Linked DNA regions of Oryzias latipes. The protein of the gene in region 2 interacts with the protein of the main gene of each other region in a pairwise test. Links are inferred from orthologs where the notes say so. Each region holds a gene or a part of one and is shown on either strand. Other genes may lie near its edges. The genes, in order: psmg2 and psmg1.

The links.
Region 1: the proteins of psmg1 (region 2) and psmg2 interact in binary tests that used the Homo sapiens proteins (3 or more experiments, as listed by UniProt). The link is inferred for Oryzias latipes from reciprocal best matches to the Homo sapiens genes PSMG1 and PSMG2.

What each region holds. Positions count from the first base shown.
Region 1 is NC_019869.2:7,088,168-7,099,540, reverse strand, and holds psmg2 (proteasome assembly chaperone 2), read left to right. Parts: upstream 1-5,283; 5' UTR 5,284-5,435; coding exon 5,436-5,492; intron 5,493-6,219; coding exon 6,220-6,391; intron 6,392-7,545; coding exon 7,546-7,604; intron 7,605-7,675; coding exon 7,676-7,794; intron 7,795-7,880; coding exon 7,881-8,060; intron 8,061-9,062; coding exon 9,063-9,183; intron 9,184-9,284; coding exon 9,285-9,368; 3' UTR 9,369-9,593; downstream 9,594-11,373. Other genes in the region: uncharacterized protein LOC101168130, read left to right, coding at 740-1,118, 1,217-1,388, 1,483-1,661, 1,725-1,821, 1,931-2,084. UniProt on the Homo sapiens protein: Chaperone protein which promotes assembly of the 20S proteasome as part of a heterodimer with PSMG1.
Region 2 is NC_019872.2:24,921,169-24,932,425, forward strand, and holds the start of psmg1 (proteasome assembly chaperone 1), read right to left. Parts: upstream 6,729-11,257; 5' UTR 6,639-6,728; coding exon 6,520-6,638; intron 3,190-6,519; coding exon 3,086-3,189; intron 1,620-3,085; coding exon 1,474-1,619; intron 1-1,473. UniProt on the Homo sapiens protein: Chaperone protein which promotes assembly of the 20S proteasome as part of a heterodimer with PSMG2.

The DNA.
Region 1 (11,373 bases), on a different chromosome or scaffold from region 2:
ACGGAGCTACTGCAGGTCATTCCTCCCCACAGCCATCAGACGGTCCCCGGGGTGTTTCTTCTTTCACTCATTTATTCATTTACTTTTGTTGCAGTTGTTGCTGTTTTCGATTGTTTTTGTTCCTAAATGGTTGTTTGTTTGGTGTGTACTTTATTACTTACTTATATTTGTATTAAAAACGTTTTACATGTTTTTTACAGTTGATCACAAACAGCTGTATTTATTTAATATTTATTTATTTATTTAATATGAATATCATTTTTTATGTCCTTTTTTGATGTTATTTTCTGAATGTCATTGTTGCTGCCACAGATAAAGGAATTTCCCCATCGTGGGATAAATAAAGTCATCTAATCTAATCTAATCTAATAATTTTTACTGATGGGTGTTAATACCCCTACTTTACGATCTTTATGTTTGAACTTATTGAATTAATTTTTTTAAATTTATTTTTATTTCCATGAAACAGCAAAAACACAAATTCTTATACATCAGAAATGAAATGGGGAAAAAAGAAGATATATATATATATATATATAGATTTATATATATAAATATATAAATCTAGAGATGCTTTATGCTTAATAGCATAAAGGTTTACATATCTTTTCATCAAAGCATTCAATATAAAATAAAACAGACACTGGCAAGTTTGTGTCCTGATTGTATCCTGTGTCATGAGGATGTCATTTTCTCATCTATTCTACAGCTGTAACATTTAAATTTGGTTTTATTTTAGGTGATGGCTGAGGAAAAACCATGGGCTCTATTTTCCGAGGTGGGCGGCGAGGGTTACCTGGAAGGCGTCATTGGCATAATGAAACAGCACTTCCAGCTCATCTGCCATAAAGACTTTTTGAAGAATCCACTCGTGTATGGCCCCAAAATCCAGGCCTTGTTTGTCTGGAACTGCTACCCTGCAGCTGAACCGTCGTTGCTGACTTCCTTGCCGTCCCTGAAGGTGGTTGCCAATGGAGGAGTGGGCATTGATCATCTGGATGTGTCGTACATCAACAGCCTTGGAGTGAAGGTGACCAACACACCGGGGGTGGTGAGTGCTGCCACTGCAGACATGGCCATGGGTTTGCTTCTGGCATCTGCACGGAAGATTGTTGAAGGTGAAGGGAAACTGGAAATTGATCATTTCACATTTTTATTCTTCAATACCTCTTCTGTAAGGGTGAGGACAAAAGATTGTTGGTTTCCACCTCTACAGGTCACTTAATTTCTGTTGATCCCAAGACCACATATTTACCATCAAGCCTGATGGGAGTTGAAGTATCAGGATCTACTCTGGGAATTATTGGAATGGGAAACATTGGATACAAAATTGCTCAGAGGGGCAAAGGCTTCGACATGCGGATTCTATATCACAATAGAACAAGACGGTAACAATGATCAATGTTTAACAATGTGACCCTGAAATCCAGCTATAGATCCAAACAAACACATTTGTAAACGTTTTGTTCCGTTGTTCCTAAGGTGTTTGGAAGATGAGGAGGCTGTGGGGGCGATTTACTGCAGGAACATGGACGACCTACTGAAAGAGTCTGACTTTGTTGTGCTGGCGGTCAATCTGAGCCCTGAAACCAAACACCTGATTGGTCATAGAGAGCTGGCCCTCATGAAAGACACGGCTACACTAGTCAACATCAGCAGAGGTGGGGATTAGATCTGATTTCATTTTTATGCAACCATATTTACTTTAATATGGGACTCAACAGGTTTGGTTGTGGACCAGGAGGCCTTGCTCAAGGCTCTACAATCTGGAGTTATTCAAGCAGCAGCTTTGGATGTGACTTATCCTGAACCGTTACCAAGGTAACAACGCATTTGACATCTTGAGGTTTATTTAAACGGATTAAAAAGACAAAAGCAATGATGGAATAAAAGTGTCATGTGACTGGGCTTTGCTGCTTGCTTTGTGCAGAGATCATCCTCTCCTCAGCCTTCCCAATGTGCTCCTCACTCCCCATGCAGGGACCAACACTAACACCACAGTGAGAAAGATGGTGCAGCTGATGGTGGAGAACGCTGTCGCTGTTGTAAAAGGTAGTCAGGTTCCCAATGAAGTCAAGCTTTAAAAATGCTATCATGATAATACATGGAAATTATAGAGCAAAAAATTAGTTTAGCATTATGGGGTTTTTAAGACTGATTATTTGAGGCTGCCCCATGGCTGGAAACGGGGCTGCCGGAGCCTATCCCAGCCACTTGTGGGTGAAGATAGGGGGCACCCTGGACAGGCCGCCAGTCTGTCGCTGGTTATATTACGTTATGTCTTTAAATTTACAGCTGTCATAGAGTTCTTATATAAAACAAACGTGGCCAAGAGCTGTATCAATAGATGTTTTCAAATTACTAAGCCACTGTAAACAGTAGGACTGAGAAGCAGGAAATCTAGGTGTTGGTAAAGAGTGGCTTTATACATTCTATCTCATTTATGTTTTTTTTCTTGTATGATATTGTTGTAAATTACTCAGTTGCGCATCTGTCGACATATTCAATCGTAATCTGTAGAATCACAGGTTTTCTTTGTACTTGAATAAATAAACAAAAAGACAAAAATGTGAGTCCAAGACCTCCTTTTTAATGTGACAAATGGGTTTTACCATACAAACTATTATATTATGCAATTTACCGCACAATACTATGTACAATGAACTAACATTAACATTTTTTAAATGAATAAATAACGCACTAAAAAATATGGAAGAATACTGGGGGGTATTCCAGGAAGCAGGTTTAAACTAGCCTGACTTTAACCCTGAACTCTGGCTGAAGTCCGCCTGAACTTGCTTACTCTGGGTATGTCGGTTCCAAAAGACCGGATATGAGTTGGCGTAATTACGCTGGACTTGGTAACCCTGGGTTAATGCACGTGCACAGCAAGTACATAAAGACATTCTCAATGGATCGTCGATATCCAGAGTCACCATAGAAACGTGACGAGAACAAAAGAGAGCGCTATACTTTTGTGACAGAGTCTGAGATTTAAATGACAGTGTGTGAGGATTATACGTCCATCAAAAAAGTAATACGGCTGCATCATCAGCAAAAGAAAGAGTTTCTGCTTGGAGAAAAAGAAGGAAAAAGTAAACGCACGAGTTTCAATCTCATTTCTATTTTCATTGTGACGCATATAACTTATCCAACTTAAATGAATTGCTTCTATTGGTATCAAGTAATTGAGTTAAATTTATTCAACCTAATTTCTTACGTCTACCCAACTCAATATTGTTTTACAACTCAAATTTACATATTTATATAACTAAATGTGATTTTACTCAAATGTTTTTCCATCTTAATTTATTGTACTTCTTGAACTCTCCTATGTCTAAGTTTGAGCCGGCAGATATACTCATTTTATAACAATAAAATGATTGAAACAAAATGGAATTGTATCATGACTCAAGATGTAGTTTACAATTTCTCTTACTTGGACAATACATCACCAAGAATAAGCGGCTTCTAAATAAAACCTCATCATCCTCTCCCTCCCTCACTCATGGTGCAGAAAAAATATAACATAAAAGGACAAATAACTCAGCAAAACACAGTAAAACAGCTAAACAACTAAACACAGTTGGTCAAAAACCCACACTTAAACCCAAATCCGTCCAGACATGCAAATGGAATGGTATCCCACAATTGCTTGCGGTGCAGATCTAACAGCAGCATCAAAGTTACACCTACTTAATAAAATTAATTTGAATTAAGGTAAAATAACTGTCTGATAACTAGATGTTATTTTTAAGATGACTTAACAAAATAATTGATTTATCTTAACTGAAGCAAATAATTAAGTTAGAGCAATGTAAAAAAGTTTATCTTTCCAACATCTATATGTGGTCTTATCACCCTCTCATGGTGGAAAAAGTATTATCTGAGCTTCTTCATCCACTAAATCATCTTCAAATGGACACACCATGCTGCTTCACCTCTCTGAAAACAAACTAAGCTTCAACTAAACCTGCTCCAGACCAGGTTATGTTCAGAGCATGAGTTGCCATGGCAACTTGACCTACCCTGAAACATACCTCCATTTTTGGAACCAAAAGCTGAGGTTATCAACTTCCTTAGCCTCAAAGTTACCGTGGTAACTAGAATAACCTGCTTATTGGAATACCCCCCTGGAGGGGAAAATATTAGAAACAATAAAAAATAATGTAAGCAGTAAAAAAGGAACCAAAGGGCAGAGAACAATAAAAGAAAGGTAGAAAGACTTTGAAAATGTTCTTTTTTTATTTAGTAAAATAAACAGTTTACATTTTAAAAATTCCTGTGAAAGTGGGTTATTTCTTTTTTATAAAGTAAGTAGTGTATGCAGTAATTTTCCAGAAAGAATGTTTACAACCACATCAAAAAGAAGATAAAACAAGTAACAAATATTAAAGATAGAAGCAGAATATCCAACAAAGAACCCAAATCTAACTAAAAGCCTGCTGAAATAAAAAAAGTCTTATGATTGAATGCCTCAGTCTTGTCAATGACTGTACAACCCTTGAATGTCTCGTATACAGTCAATGGTAGAAGCAGAGTCAGGGTGTTCCAGAGTTTGGCTGCCATTGCTTGGAATGTCATATCCACTCGAGTTTTAAAATGCGTGTGGGGACAACAGTTTCTATCATGAAAAGAAACAAACGAAAAAAAAGATCACACAACAGTAAAAATCATAGTGTATTAAAAACATTAAATGAACCCTGGAGAAAATTTGGGCTTTAAAGTTAATTTGACACATTTTGCTGCTGCAAGCTACGGCAAGCTACATCTACTATTACTACTACTACTAACAACAACAACAATAATAATAATAATAATATTCTTATTGTTAATAATAATAATAATAATAATAATAATAATAATAATAAAATTAATAATAATAGGCGGGGCTAACCCCCAGATCGCTACACTATTATACATTGGTAAATAAATAAATAAATAAATAAATAAATAAATAAATAAATAAAGCTTCAACGCGGACAAATTTACTTGCATTTGTTAAATAAAGTTATATAAAAAAAATAAAAAAAACGCGGACAAATTGACCATTTTATTTCTAGAGGGTGTTTTGGCTACTAGCCTGACTAAAGAAATCTAAAAAATAATGTTTTTGTTCCTAGGTGGGGGTAAACTAATAATAATCTACACACGCTACTACAAAACCAATACATTTAAAGGTTAAAATAGGTTATAATGATTTTAGATTTTCTTAAGTTTGCTTTTTTGATGAATTATAGTCAGGCATTCCTGAAGTATGCCTAAACTAGTTTCAGTCCTCAAAATCTCCACGAACGTATACAACAGAATCAGGCATGGAAACTTGAGGAAGCGTGTGCTTAGATATTACAAATTTTCAGTTGTGATTAGCGTACTCCTACATACTTTTTTTAACCGTAACTCTCTGGTTTTGTGTCAGCTCCCTGTTCAGCATCATGTTTGTTTCCTCGCAAGACTCGCCTCCTGTTTTCAAAGATTTTACCCTCGTCATGGTGAGTTTTTGTTTCACTTCTTGCAAACGTTTCTCTGTTGCAACTGCAAGCAGTTTTACTTTGTATATTACTATCAACAAGTCTGTGTTACTTACTTCTTTTTTTTTTACTTTATTCATAGCTGTAATTGGTTCCAGTCAGTTAGTTTGTAGATTGATTCTTTATTATAATTGTGGTTGTTATTGAACTCTAACAAATAACAGCAGTAAAACTGTAACACATTCGAGTAAAAGGATGTCAGAGGGAGAATGTAGCTCCTCTGCGATTTGATGTTCATGCAGAAAACACCGGGGTCAGGTCTGTTGTGATAAATGGCCTTGGCCATTATTATGACATTTAATTGGTTAAACCAAGTCACGTATGTATTAACAAATTCCATCACTTAAGATAATTTTCTCTACCAAAACTAAAGATTGTTAGGTTTAATTGACGATTGCTATTTTCTGACATTTATTTGTATTAATAATTTGGTTCCTAACACCTCCAGAATGATAAATGCATGGACATAATATTGTTTTTCAAGTTTTTGCCATAATGTTTCATAAACTAGGGTGAAATACTGCATTTTAAAGTTCTAGCTAAGTTGTTTTGATTTGAAAAAGGCATTAGAAATGTGCTGTTTTATTCGATTGTGATGTAAAAGAGTTTTCAGGCCTTCTGAAAGCCTTTCACCTCACAGTAGTAGCCGTCTTCCATATTTGTCCTGTTTCTTTGGGTGTCCCCTTAGCCGGCTGTTTCTGTTGGTAACGTGGGTCAGCTGGCGGTCGACCTCATCGTATCTACTCTTAACATGAGGAGAGTGGGCTACATGCACACAGACTGTCTCATCCCCATGGCTGGAAACAACCCCTACAGCTCCTGCAAAGAGGATGCGGAGGAGCTGCACACTCCTGCAGAAGGTAACATGGGTTCAGCAAAGTCTGTCTGATTGATACGTTTTCTATGCTGCAAATGTTGTTGCATTGATTTGTGTTGACAGTTTTTTGGGTGACTTGGTTTAAGGGTTTATGTGATAGTTTTGTATTTCGTGTACAATCACCCTTTTATGTGACAGACTGACAGATTTTAATATTTCACTGTATTGTGTAGAGCAGCGGTCCCCAACCTTTATTGCACCACGGACCGGTTTGATGTCTGGCAAAATTCTCACGGTCCGGTATGTTATATGTGGCGGACACACGCTGCAGCAACGCTACTACAGAGGCAGAGACGCGTGATAAGACGCGCTCTGCACCTTTATTTTGACACGCTAAACATTGTTCATCGCACTTGTGTCATCATCCTCTCCCCTTCCCACACTCATGGTGCTAAAATTCCCTGTGATACCAGCTCCGACAGTAACCCCTGCAGCCTGCGGAACTCCGACAGCAGACCAAACGTGCACGTGACAGACACTACAATACAACAAAGTGATGAGACTTGCATGAAAACGGTGGTATTTTCTAAACATTACAATTAACAAGAATTAGGACATGAGCAACGTCCTCTCTGCCGGCAACACTCTCTGGTCGCTATTATTATAACATTTAAACATGCCTTCAAAATAAGTGCATGGAAAATCCAACTCACCACAGTGCTGAATGGTTCGAGGGAATCTCCCGTTGAGATAAATCCGTATTTTTAGTAGGACTCCTGATACTGTCTTTTTAAATGTAGCTTTCTTTTTTGGGGGGGGAGTGGAAGGCTCCTCTTTGGTCTCCTGGCTGAGCCTTTTCCCCATGGCAAAGAAACTTTCCAAAGACGTTTGTTTTTTATTCATTTTACTAGCTCCTGGGTTTTATTTTAGCGGTAACCCATCACGTGACCGAGATCAGCGAATTGGCCTGCGTCAAGAGTGACATAGACGAATGGAACAAAGAATCTGCAGTTTTTCAAAATAAAACATCTTTCAGATTCTGAAATAAATAAAACGGAAGTCATGTCAGTTATTTTATTTTTTCTGTGTGGCCCGGTACCAAATGACCGTCTGCGGCCCGGGGGTTGGGGACCACTGGTGCAGACAAAACGTATTTCATTAAAATGTAACGGAATCTGTAAAATAAATCATTTGCAGTTTACACAGCAGCAGAAATGAAGCTGGCAGTTCTCCAGATCAGAGCCCCAATTATTCAGGTAAAGCCGTTTGATTCCCGTCAACATTTACGTGGAATTAGTCAGATTTCTGACTTGTTTGTTTACTGCAGACGAGGACCAAGCGGTTTCGCCAGCAGCTGGTATCTTGGATCAAAGCGAGCGGTTTCTCCAGAACAATGGTTCTGTCCAGCAGCCATGCCTACCAGAGAGACGACCTGCAGCTTCAGGGGTAATCCTGCAGTCTGACAGCATCCTTGTATATTTTTGTAACCATTTCCAGACATTTCTGTTCTGATGAATCTGCGTTTTCATCAGTTCTCCTCTTCGGTTCCTGGTCACACCGTCTCTGCTGGGAGTGAGTGCTGATGCTCTGAAGGAGCTGGGCTGGAGGGAGATGGAGCGAACGCCGGCCTTTCCCGGACTAACGGATGCTGAGGCCGAGCCTCGACTCTGCATCCCAGGAGGAGGCATCACAAAAGGACTTTACTCTGACAGGTACTGGGACTCCGACATGACACCTGTACCCATAACGTAAAAAAAGCCCTCTTTGCTGTCCTGGTAATTGGCCATTAACTGTTGTTGAACTTTCATTGTTAAATTACAATTTATTGTAATTTGGGAATTGAAACCAAAGGAATACAAAAATATAAATTGAGATTCTCTGTTTTAAAGACTTCAAGAAGAAGGTAGTTTGGGTTTAGCGTTTAGCGCTCTTTGCAGAAAACACCTCCTGCCTGAAATCCAGGCTGTAAACACAGAGAGAAAGTTAAAAATTCTTAAAATATGAAAAACAAAATGGTTTCTTAAAATAAAAAAATCTGCCAGTAGGTAAGAAAATGGTCTCAACAAGAATTGTGGGGAAAAATCTAGTCACTTAGGCATGTTTTCTTAAACTAACATTATTTTGCTATTGATAAGTTTCCTTGATAAGATTAATTTATTGCAAAGCAGAAAATAAGAATTTTTTGCTTGTCACCCCCCTTGAAAGCTGGCTGGGGAGAGCAGGGATCGATCCACCAACCCTTCGGTTGTTGAACGACCCGCTCAATGGCATCTGAGTTGTTTTATTTAAAATTCACTGTGGTAATGTACAGAAACTAAAGTACAAAGAATGTGTCTCTGTCCAAATATTTATGGTCCTGACTGTAGATCCCAAAAATGGTCTTAAAAATGTCTGTAGCCATGCGTGAACGCAGGTTTTTAATGTTAAACCTTAAATGTGCATTTATCTTTTCATTTGAAGTTCGTCCACCGCCAAGCGTGTTTTAGACGCAGCTTCAGAGCCAAAAGGTCGCTACAAACCCGGATATTGAGTAGATGGCTATTAAAAGTAAATCATAATATCAGCATGGTTTTTTAAAGCCTGAATTTAAGAAAACATGGCTTAATCTTATTGATTCATTTAGTCTTTTTGTTTAGTCACAAAAAGTTTAGAATAACTTCAGAACGTAACAACTGCAGCTCTTGTTTGTGTCTCTGATCTCATGCTGTGTGTAGTTGTGCAGAGGATCTCCGGCTCGCCGTCTTGCTGCTCTTCTGTTCTGAAGGAGACAACATTCCCGACGCCTTTGCTCTGGTGAATCATCTCAACGACTGGCTTCATCTGCTGGACAACCAGGTTTGAAAGACAGAAAACCTGCTGATATGATGAAGCTCATCCAGTGTAGAGGTTTGAATTAACAGATATATATGAATCATTTTTCTTATTTCCATTTTTAGGACCAGGAGCCAAATAGCAGATGGAAAATTCCTACTTCTTGGAGTCTTCTGTTTGGAAGTGGAATCCCTCCTGCGCTCTTCTGATACAAATTTCATCTTCATCTTTTATTTAACCAATTAAAAGCCTCAAAGCAGCTTTTTCTTTTACACAAAACTCCTGCTGCAGATGTCGAACAACACCGTCAAACATCACTGACCCCTTAAAGATCTCCCTTTTCCTCAAACTTCATTCACATCAGCATGTCAGGAAATGGAAAGCACTTCCAGGATAATATCAATGTTTTCCACAATAAAATATTTTCATGGGAATTGCGTTTGTGATTACATTTTACTCTCACTTCGTCCCGTCTCCTCCCTCCTAACTGAAAGTGCTTGGCCGGCTGCCATGCTGTATTCCTGGCAGTCCCACCTATGAGTAATTTGATTCCTCACAGGCCGGAATTACGACACAATGCTCGTTCCGTTATCCAGCAGGTTTGTGGATTTCTCTTCCAGCCTTGTTTTAGCTGCTTCCTGCAAAGAAGAGATCATTCCCCTCAATAACTATGTAGAGTTCAACTCGGAACAAACTACAAAATGTGTGTAAATTAAGCAAATACAAGTTTTATTAGAAGATTACACAAAGAAAAAAAACTTGACATTTCCAAAAGAGAGCAGCTCACAACAGCTGTCATTTCTTCAACATTAGCTCTCCCTCTTATTTTTTTGTCTTTACAGGCAAAAAAATACATCTTTACTCATAATAATAAAAAGAGTACTATGTACATGGTGGAAACACGTCATGCCACTGGTATTTGTGGAAGGAAGCGGTGATTGTCATCAGACCACCCCACATCACCTAAAAAACTTTCAAGTAATTTCTTTAAAAAATAAAAAATAGAACCTTTTTTTTATTATGTGTTTGAAATAGATTTTTTTTTCTCCAAAAATACACGTATGACCAGCATTACAAATTGGCAATGCATAGCCTATATTTTCAGTCTCATAAAAGCAAAGGAGCATGAAAAACTGCTGGAAGGAAACAAAAAAAGTCTTATTTGGATGAGGAAGTAGCACTAAAGGTGTGTTGAGTTGTCTGGAGGTAAACCGCTGGTGTTTGTCTTCAAAGAATGTCAAAGTGTTCTCTGTAAACAGTCCAGTGAGGATCGGTGACAAATATCCCCCAAATCTTAAGGTCAGGAGGAGGGCTGCTGCCGATAAAAAAGGAAGAATGGAGTTGTGCTACGTGACGGCTAAAGAGAACAAAAGGGAAGTAGAGAGGAAGAAGAATGCAGAGGTGAGGAGAGGGTTGGAGTTCCCTGCCGGTGTTGGCTTTGTTGCCGGAGCTGTAGCGGTGTGGCTGCAGGTGGCGGAGGTTAGCAGTCGCTGGTTTTCACCCTGTCACCGCAAGGAAAGCAGAAGAAGTGTAAGAATAAAAATGAATCAACAACAGCTATAGATGCAGAGCAATCAAAGACACTCATGCCACGTTTAGCAATCAAGCCAAAGCAGACGTTTCTGTAGAGCAACAGTTCTGCTTTGAGGCTTTTAGCTGCAGTGGAGCAAACAGACACAAACAACTGTACATGTATTTAAAAAAAACAACATTGTTTGTTTCAAAAACATGTGTCAAGGATTATAGAATATTATACCATGGTCCGGTTGAATACTCGATTCTGATTGGGTGCTGGGTATGCATTAAAACCTGATAACCGCACGGTGAAAAAAGAAGTTCGGTCAGCTAGCTAGTTTTGTATCACTGCGCCGGCTTCTTTAAAACAATGATGCGCCGCATCACGTAACATATAGTCCGCTTTTTGTGAGAAAAGCGATCCAAATCGGAAAATAAAACGAGAATTAAGGACTAAAACCTGGTTAATATGTATTGCTTTTGTAACTGACCATGGTAAGAGCGGGTTAATGGCCTTCGAAGTGTGCGTTTATTACTTTTTAATGCACTTCGCGGAAGCAACCGTCCGACGCGAAGGCTTCCACGGCGTGCGTTAAAAAGTAATAACCGCATACTTCGTCGGCCATTAACCCTTACTTATCCAACAAATATTATGAGGCTTCTTTTTGCTTTGCCATTGAGTGTGTATGAGAAATTGAC
Region 2 (11,257 bases):
ACAGTGTGTATGTATGTACAGTATGTATGTATGTATGTATGTATGTACGTACGTACGTACGTACGTACGTACGTACGTACGTACGCACGCATGCATGCATGCATGCAATGTATGTATGTATGTATGTATGTATGTATGTATGTATGTATGTATGTATGTATGTATGTATGTATGTATGTATGTATGTATGTATGTATGTACCGGTATGTATGTATGTATGTATGTATGTACCGGTATGTATGTATGTATGTATGTACCGGTATGTATGTATGTATGTATGTACCGGTATGTATGTATGTATGTATGTATGTATGTATGTATGTATGTATGTATGTATGTATGTATGTATGTATGTAGCTTCAATGAAACAAGTTTAAAAAGTATTAATATTTTCTTCCTATTAAATAACAAAATTGGCCAATCTAAACTTTATACACATTTCAATCTGCATATCAAACTGGAAACACTAATATCAGGATTTTGATTATTCAAACTGTCTGTAATCTTTTGCATAGTCGTAAAATATTCCATCAAGCTTTCATGAAAGCACCACAGAATTAATAGACTTTTTTTTTTGTAATTTTCGTCACTTTACAGCAATCATCTCTGGGCACTTTAAAGTGATGTAGAAACAAATTGCCTTGCCTCAAGCACTTGTGACAGAGGTGAGTCATAGTCTCTCCCCCAATTTCCATCTGATTATCACTGTTTAAAGTGCGACTGTTCAACATCCAAGGAACTGGCCACCTTTATATCCATTTAAAATTTCAAAGACTTAATTTTGAAACTAAACTGGACGAATATCCTCAAAATCCACAAAAGCATAAAAAGAGGATCAACTATAATTATTAAAATGTAATTATTATATAAAATATTGTAAAAGACGGAAGTCATTTGAAGTTGAAGTCAGCCCTGGTGGTAACTGTATTTCCCGCAGCGGTGTAATTTATGGCAGACTGTGGCAGTATTCTTTGCCCACAGCTGCTTCTGCTGTCCTTCAGTACATTAAATCCCTGCAGGAATCTGAAGAGGTGATAAATCTGTAGCCTCCACAGCAGCTCTGTGCTTCAAACGTGGTCATTTGCTGCGTTTATCCCAATTAAATCATGAGCCACCGACAGCAGGCAAATAGAAAGTAACCGCACGCCTCCGCGCACACTGCGGTCCACTGGAAGTCTGTGTTCTGACAGCTTATTTAACGGAAACTAGATTTCCAGGTTCATCTTTGGGTGTGAAATAACCCCTGACCATTTTCAAAAACAGAAATATTCTTTATTTTAACAACGGCATAACTATCCTTTGTTAGAATAATGATTCCAAGCCATCTTGTGTTGATTTGGTGATAACGTGTTCACTTAAAAACTTCTGAACACAGAATTTTGAAGAGTTCAACAGTGAGGCGTTTCTGTCTACTGGTAGTTAGGCAAAAGAAAGCATATGCTCTTCTTTTTTTTTTCTCTGCGCGTCACTCACTGATGGGATGTCCTTATGTCTGTAGAAAACACATGCCGACTCCTCGCTGCTTTGCCCAGCCACAGCCCGGCTTCTCTCGTTCCACACCGACGCACGTCCAACTGCGTCCCAGTTTGACGAGCTGAGAACGTACGCTGACAGGAAGCCTGTGAAGACACATCCGCTCAGTATTCAGCTCACAGGAAAACTGTTTTATTCACGCTGCAGCTCATGCCATCTTTGACAAGCTCTGCTTTGACATCTCAAATCTGAAAACAAATATATATATTTTAAGAAAATGACTGTCTTCATGATCTGTTAATATTTGGGGTTTGTTAATAATTTACACATTCATTTCAGGCCTGCACGTTTCCGCAATTTAACATCATGTAAGGGTCGTGTCCTACAGCCACTACAGACATTTTGTGGCTATTGCATGGATGAAAATTTGTCATGTGAATATATATAGGGAAAAAAAGTGAGAAAAGTTGTGCGTGAAATTTTCTTGCACTTTCTGTCCCCCTATGCCTTCCTGCTGTCTGGCATTGGGCCCCCGTGGCGGTCCTGCTGACCTGGGTGGCAGATGTGATTGCCCGGCGGGCAGTTATCTCTATCTAGGGCGGGGGGTCCTGGCTACCACCGCTGCTTTGGTGGGGGTCCTGGTGTGGGGATGACCGGGGCACTCTCCCTTTTTCCTTTTACATTTTATCATCCACCATGGAAGAACGTAAACACTCACTCGAGCTCAGGTGTCTCACCTTTTAACAAATAGGTTGCGTGACTGAATGAAATGATTCACATGCGTTGGTCTGAATGGATAAGTATGCATGTGTCCATATGATTAGGTTAGAAAATGTGAATAAAAGAGCATTTTAAAGCAGAGACTGTTCTTCAAATGAGTGATAAAAAACGAAGCCTTCTGGGTTGAATCAGTTTTAATGATTTTTTATAATGATTTATATATTTTGTCTTATTTGTGCTTCAGAAAAGAAAAAAAGACAATTCAGCTTTTAATAGTAACCATTTAAAATGACAAGATCTGTATTTGTGCAAAACTGTAGCAGAAAATCTTAAACAGATCCTTAAACTTTCCTGGTTGCAGCAGTTAAGTCCCACTCCAATCAATTTCCTTGATCTATTTTCAAAGTGTTCACAGTGGTCTTTTAAACATAATAGTTCCGTTTTAGCCATAAATAAATACAAACCTGTGTTGTTTTTTCTAAGACCTAGTTTCTGCAGAGTGGCAGGAGTCCATTAGAAATTTACCGCTGAGTTGTGGGAGGGGATCCTTGTCAGGATGCGAATCAATTTCAGGAGAAAAGATGATCTGTTAAAGTGTAAGGTCTTCAACTTCCCCTTTCTCTGTGGTGTCTTTAAATTTTAAAATATTTTAGAACTAAAAATGATGCCCAGGAGATCTAATAAAACGCAGAGAAGAGTTGGACTCTTGGCATAACTCCAATCCGGCAGCAGCTTGTTTTTGTCAACTATTTGCTCTTTTGTAGTAAAAACCTAAATGTTCGCTTTCTGGCAAATTGTTTGACGCCCAGCCAGCAGCTATGAAGGACCTCTGCTAATGTTAAAGGCGCAGGAAAATAAATGGGAGGCGCACGTTTTTGCCCCCAATACTTACTGGCAGCATTGTGTCCCACAGCAAGGAAGAAATCTGAACACTGGAGTTTGTTTCCAGACGCCAGCGACTGCGAAGTTTCGGGATTCCAGAGCAGGTTTACCTCCCTGAAGAATGGAGATGAAGTTTAGAAACAATTATTTATAATGTTCTGGTGATCATTAAAGAAAAGGGCAGCTTTTATTCCATTATCATTTACAAGCAAGATGCTTTTGAACTTTTCCGTTTTTTACGCCATGGTCAACATTTTTTTGTTTTTGTTTGTTTGCTTCTAATTACATTTAAATTTCAGGAACAGCCACTGAAACACGGCGTACCTATTAGTCAGATTTTATGAAAGCTCTCCTAAGCACTCTGTGCTGCAGCATGGCCGGCTTTTAAACTGAAGTGTTTGGGTTCGGCCCACTCTCAAGAGATAAATGGGAAAACAAAGCAAACCCATCAGTCATTGGAGACAAGGCAACGGCGTAATGTGCACGCGGGACGGGAGAAGCAACATCTCTCTAAAAGCCGTTCAAACGAAAATGTAAGTGAAGATTCATCGTCAGCTGTTGCAGTAATGCGTTTGGTTTTAGCCACCTTCACGCCGTAGACAGACACCTGACAGTATGTCGGTGCAGCAGAGATAATTGTTTACAGATACTGCCTGCCGCAGTGTGGTAATTCTTGCTTTGTATCTAGTAGATTTACATTTACACCTCCTATTTTCACAACATCTTGAGTTGTCAGGTAAACTTTGGCCCATCAGAAAATTAAAAGGCAGAAGACCTAAACATGACCCTTCAAAATACAAAAATATTACCATTGTTATTTGGTTTGGAAGTTTTCAGCATTTACCACTGAAGCTTTAACACCTAAAAACTTAACTGATCTTCTAAAATACATGAATGAAAGAAAAACAAATAAAATTTCAGCCAACAGCGTAACTTCTTTTTGTCTTTGCAGGAAAAGCTGAACGAGCCACTTCATTCGGTTCAGACCGGACTGTCGTCTAACGAACTTTCCTGTTCTGTTCCAAAGCTAGTAAACAAAACCACATGACAAAATATCTCTTCAGTCATTGGCCAGGAATTACGAGGGCGGGGAAAAGCCACAAGAGGCAGAAGTTTTGGAAGTCCTGCACGTTGTGTGTAGGACTTCAAGTTTGTGTGCAAGTTTGTGTCGGGATAGATTCAAACTTTATATTTCAATCACAAATTTTGAACGCCTGAATCATAGTCAGGCTCAGCACTTTTTACTTGCCAGTGGAGGCGTGCTGCAGGGCGGTTATTGCCTAGAAAATAGCCAAGAAGGTACACTAATAAGTGTTTATGACAGATATAGATTGTCAGGAAAACAGTGTGAGAAGCAAAGTGGATCACGTTAAAAGCTGTTTTAAGTTGTTCCTAATTCACCACAGTTCAGTGTGTTGCTGTGTCTCATCGTTGTGGTGTTATGGCATGTTTTAAGAGAATTCTGTTGATAAACTACAAGGAAGCTTTAAGGACAATGTAACAGCACTGCCTATCGCCGCGTAGCGAGACGCAGAAAAGCACGTAAGAAGCTTCTTTTAACGGTGTTAAAATATATGTTTTAATAAATAAACAGTTGGACCCTTTTTCCCTGTTTGGACTCTACCTTATTCAGACTGGACACATTTGGTTCACTTGAAATCAACCAGAGTTTGTTTCCCCCGATGATCCAGAACAAATTTTCAGTCTAAATACACCCGAGTGGACCCTGATCCGAGACCAGGAAGGAAACACTCTCTGACCCATCTTTCGAGGTGGTCTTGGTTCGTTTCCAATCAGGCTGAGCTTCGATTCACTCTGAGATTCCTCGGTCAGAATACAGTCCGTTCCCGGAGAGGAACAACTGGACCAAAACAGTAGCGGACGAAAAAGACAGAGTAGGAATGATGTAAACAAATGAGCCGCGGACAAATCTAAAGCAACAATTGCCGTGTTATCAAACAGGAAAAAAAGGGTCCAACTGTTTATTTGTTAGACCTTAGTTTAACACAGGGGAAACACTCTTTTCTGTACACGCATCAGGGCTGCTGTGACGTCACCCTAAAAGCTACCTTGTAGTTCCTAACAGAATTATCTTAAAATAATGCCATAACACCCCAACAATGAGACACGGCAACTTATTGAAATGTGATCGAGTGAATTTAGGCTAATCAAAACAACTTTTAGCGTGATACACATTGCTTCTCATAAAAATCTGTCATAAACACTTATTAGCGACCCTACTCAGGTGAAAGAAGGGGGCGGGTTGCTCTGCGCCAACAGTCCCGCCCAAGACTCAGAGGTGAAATTCTGACGAACTACTGCTGCTCTGCAGAAACTATGTCTTATGTCCTGTTCCAGACTAACGCTTGTAAAGAAAACCACATGACTAAAGATCTCTTAATTCATTGGTCAGGAAAAACAAGGGTGGAGCAAAGCAATGAGAGGCAGAAATTGTCTTGCTCTTGCAATTCTTGTCAGAATAGTTCACTTATTGAAACTTTATATTTCACGGACCAATTTTAATCCTCTGCATCAACGTTAGGTACAACAATTTTTTTATTTTGCTACTTTGGTACGGCGGGGGCATGCTGAAAGATGGTTATTGAGGAGAGAAGTAACGCTGATAAGTGTTTATGACATATTACAATTGTAAACCGTGTGGGAAGCAATGTCCATCTCGTTAAAAGTAGTTTCAATGAGCCTGCATTTATCCAACCAAATGTCAATGAGTTGCTGTGTCTCATCGTTGCTCCGCATTTGTGTTTTCATCCTGTAATGCCCGGCAACGGTGGATGTTTTGGTCAAGTTGCTCTGCCGAAGAAAACCCAGAGTTAACCGGAGCTCAGTCCGATTGGAAACGAACCAAGACCACCTCCAAAGATGTCTCAGAGAACAGTTACTGATCCTGGACCAGAATCCGGTTTGGTGTAATCAGACTGAAAATTCGTTCCAGATTCCATTTGTTCCACTGCACACAAAACACTACCATCCTAAATGCATTTATTATTTGTTAAATTCAGATTAAGTCCTATATTGGTTATTTTTTTAAATAAATATTTTAAACAGCACAGGGGCATTTGGGTCAAAGCATCAGCTAACAGAAGTTGTACGTATCAAGCTCTCTCTTCTTGTTGTTTTTTTGCCCAACGTTTTAGAACATGCTCAGAAATGTATTTTTAATGTGAGTGGGGGGCGTTTCATTAAAGTTGTTGCTAAAAACACATGTGTCATGTTAGCTTTGCTAGCAGTTGCTTCCTCACAAACCAGCACCAGAATGTTTATATTAAACAATAAACAAATGAAAATATATATGTATGTGTGTGTGTGTGTGTGTGTGTACATGAGGTCCATCTACACATTTTCCACACATTTCCTGCTTATTTAAGTCGTGAACAAACTACATTTAAAGATTTCCAAACGTGCTACATGACTAACAGGATTTACCTCTTTTTCTCTAGTTCTCTGCGGATTTCTTCATCTTCTTCGTTTTCTACAAAGTCCTCGTCCTCTTCTTCCACGGCCCGTGAACACACAGATAAAACTTCACCGAAAAATGTCGCCATAACGGCAAGATTTGCGAAAGAAACTGAAAGTTTAGCAACTGATTTTTCCCACCAGGCGCTGTGACGTCAGTCTACAACTTCCTCCGGCACCGGAAATGTTTTCAAAATAAAGTCCCTTTGATTTATTCTATATTCCTTCTTAAACAAAACAGTTGAAATCAAAGTCCTATTTATTTGCAGACAAAAAAATAAATAAATAAGAATAATAAAATAAAAATAATAAACCCAAAAAGACTGTTTTTTTCTTGAAATTGTTGCGAATATTATGTACTGTAATGTATAAATGTTGTGACTTAACCAGGAGTGTTTAATTCTCTTATATTGTGTATATTGTGCATTTTTCTGTGATTCGCTTCCAGTGTTTCTGTCTATCTCTAAAATGCATTTTAGATAAGTCATTCAGGAAGAAATTTTTATAGAGACTTCCATCAGATTTTACCAAGATAACAAAATAGGATTTGGGCCATGGATAAAAAATGATAATAAAAGGCCAGAAAAAAAAAATCTGACTTTTTTTTTAAAATCAGAATTCTGAGATTCATGTGAGCATTCAGAGAAGAAAAGTAAAAAATCTGAGATTAAAATTAGAATTCTGAGATTAAAGTAAAAATTCTAAGATTAAATTAAGAATTCTGAAATTAAAGTCAGAATTCTGAGATTAAAGTTGAAATTCTGAGATTAAAGGTAAAATTATAAGAAAAAAGTCAGATTTCTGAAATTAAAATAAAAATTCTTAGATTAATTTTAAAATTTGTCAGATTGGTCAGAATTCTGAGGGAAAAGGGTCAAAACTCTGCAATTAAAGTTAAAATTCTGAGATTAAAATCAGTAGTCCGAGGAAAAAATGTTAGAATTTTTACATCAAAGTCCCAATTCCTTTTGGCCCTTTGTTTTTTTCTCAATGGCCCAAATCCTTTTCTGTAGATAACAGACCCTTTTTATTTGTTAAAAAAATCAAATTATGGCACACACCAAAAAAAGCACTAAACTTATTTTATCACTTCCAGTGACATATCATCAACATGCAATCATTTTATAGCAAGATAAATTGTTATAGCAATCAGTACTGATTTTAGTACTTATCTAGATTTGTGACTATTGCTTCAGGATTGACTTGAAATATGTGAATAGCTGTCTAACCTCGTTTTACTGACTCAAAGTTGCATGAAAGCCCTCCCCTGTGAGCAGTGCACCGCCATCAGTTCTGGTAATATGTACAGGCACTGTATGAAAATCCATCAGGTTTATACCTGAGGCAATAACCTATAACACAGGATCATTTATGTCTTTCCAGGGAATTCACATCTTTGTGATTGCACATCATTTCCTGGCTTTGAGAGCAACACTTCTGTGCTATATTTAGCCCATGTGCAAACTGTATGTAAACTTGACATGCCACATGACTCTTCCAGCTTTTTGCCAGTGATGTATAATTAAAAGAAGTGGAAAGAGACAGAAATGCTGGATCAACTTCTGCATGACCAACCAAAGACATAACCCAAGTCACACTTGTGCATTTTGGCTCAAATTAATAAAGCCATCCTTTCCACTGCATGGTATAACTTATATTCTTGTGAGCTTTGCTCTGAAGAGAAAACAGAATTATAATGATGTCATCATGGCGATAAAAAACACGTCATTGTCACCTGAAAGTTCCTTGTGCTAAGGGGACAAACTGCATTGCAAGCCAAAGCTTGGATTATAATAAACCGGGATCTGTTTCTACTGTGGTGCAATAATGTATCAGGAGGCCATAAAGTAACAGCAGAAATGTTTCCTATCACAAAATGGAGCAACATGCTCTGGGGAAACTTCAGGCTGCTGTTAATATAATTGATAGCAAAGAGGAAGAGTGGAAGGGATGCTGTGCAGCTTAACAAACACTAAAGCCTCCCAGGCTCAAATCAGCAAGAGAGGAATGTCAAAATAGGACAAACAGGGATGTCACTGCTTTACTGCCCATTAAAACGGGGAGTCTGGAGAGACAGTCGGTGCACAACAGCATCCACAATGACTGTCTGTCTTCTCTGTGTCCCAGCACCAATGAGGACAGGGAAGCTAATGGTCCCTCATTCCATTAGTTTATTTAGCCTGCACTCAGGTCAGGAGTACAGAATTCATTCTTCTGACTAAAGGCCCAAATACCTATAGTGAACGTCATCATGTCCCAGTGTCATTTTTTTAAGAGTTGTGTTATTTTTTTCATTTTGATCTCTAGATTTGTACCTCCTCCTTTATTTTTGAAGACCCACTCAGAGGAAAATTGTGTTTTTCAAATGTTTTGTGGCATTTTTCTGACAATGGAGGATATTTATTGAGAAAACGCTCATCTGAGTATTTCTTTGTTTAAATCATTGTGAATCAGGAACAAATTAAAAAAAAAACGCAGTTTGAAAATCAGATAATCTGTGACACAGAAAATTGGCCGGGTGGGCCACAAACTCCCTGTTCCTCCTCATTCTGATGCATTCACTTGTAGACGACTAAATCCTTGTACGTCTTAATTTTCCTCATCTAAGCTGGCATCTGACTGCAAACCGTACAGCTGGATAACGCAAATATTGCTCGCCATTTTTGTTGCACTGGATGTCAGGTTAGGGGTGTGAGGGGCTGTGAGATAGCGGGAGCAGGCGTAAACAGAGAGCTTACAGTTTTGGGAGATGGGGGGGGGTTTGCTCCACGCCAACGGTCCTGCCCACAACTCAGAGGAAAATTTATACTGAATACTGCCACTCTGTACAAACTATGTGTTAAAAAACAACAGATTTTTATTATTATTATTTTTGGCTAAAAACTGTGTAATTATAATTAAAAGACCGTTGGAAACGGTTTTACAATAGAAAAATGATCAGAGTGGGCCAGTTCTGAGCTGATGGGACACCTAGAAAAATCCGATTTTGAAGAATAAAAAGCCTGATCTTTCTTTTGTATGGTGCATTAAGTTTCCTTGGGAGACCGCCATGTATACAATTCTAAAGTTGCTTGCATTTTTTTGTTGTTACTCAAATGAGCTTGAGCATCTTGAAACTCAAGACTGCTTTGTCTTTTTGTCTGGTTGGTACCTTGCTGATGCAGTAAAAGCACCTTCATGTGACACTGACGATCATTAGCATCTGCTTTGTATAATTGGTTGATAATACACATGACAATAATCTTACAAAATCTATAGAAAGATTGTTTTGGGGGTTGTTATTTGTATTTTGTTAAAGTCTCATGGAGCCACTGATAGGCAGTTAGTCTGTTGTAATAGACAAGCTACTAAATTTAAAACAATAGAAATATTATTCAAAATGTACTCGAAATACCCTAAAGTATATATTTAAAGTAAAATGAAATTGAGTAGTTTCGTAATGTGTTTCACCAAACACTCAATGACAGTGTAAAATACATTTTTACTTCAATTTTAGTATCCATGAATGAGTTTATATCATTATTTACTGTGGTATTTGATGCATTGATGACCGGCAAAGATTATTTCTCAGTTCATCTGCGGCTACAGACTTAAAATATTGGAAAATCCTTTCAACAATCATCCAAAAAGCTTCCTTTTTATGATAAACAAACCATGAAAAACACACTTACTTCAAAAAAATGCTTTATGTAAGTTAGACCTGAATATTAACTTTGCTTTAAGATCCTTAGACTTTTGAAACTTTTTCAATCTACCTTCAAAAATATTCTGCTTCTGTCTGTATTTTCTTTAATGGTCTTCCATTGTTTTAAGGTCACCAATTCTACAAATAATTGTTAACTTTTGAAAATATATCTACAACAATAAAAAGTACAAGAGTTTTTTTTAAGTGTCTTTTTTTCACACAGAAGCAGAATAAAGAGAAAGGTGTAATATTCCCATGTTCTCCTTTGTAACACAAACCAAGCTCTATGGCAACAGAGATGATTAACACATCTTTTTTTTGCCACAAGAAAATCTTTCTGCTACTTTAAATTGTGTAGTTCAGAAGGTTAAATGGCTGCAGGGTTTAGAGATGAAGCACAAGACACCTTGTGGAAAATTGTCACCACCCACGAAAAACACAATCCGCTTTAACCCAGTCGCAGATTCTACAAGTAAACTCCTGCAGGGATGCACGGCATGAGCTGTCTTCCTGACAGACCTGGAGCCACGTTTGTTTCTGTCAAAGACTTTTTTTTGTCAAAATGATGTTTTCTTTGTTTGTTGTGTGTGTGGGAGATGGGGTCATTTTAAAGTTTCTAAATTTAATAAAGAACCGTCAGTGGTTCCACAAAACCAGCCTTAAGGTCCCACACACGTGGCTGCATGAACTTAAATCTTGGAAATGCTCCCCTTTAATTAGCTGTCACTCTTTAAGACAAATGACTGAAAGGACAGAGAGCAGTCAATACTTGTCAAGAGAGTCTGGGAACCCACCAGGACACAAGAAGACCTTGGAACCAATTTGAAGATAAAGTTAACTAATTACAGTCAATATGATGAATCATAAATCCATACAGGATTTTAAATTATATATTGATGAGCAGATGAAGGCCAGTGAAGGTGGAAGAACCTTCATGTGTAGCTATGTTCACACCATCTTTAGCAACTCCAGTGAAAGATCTATATGAACATGCATTTTGGGCTTCAAAACTCTCACATACAC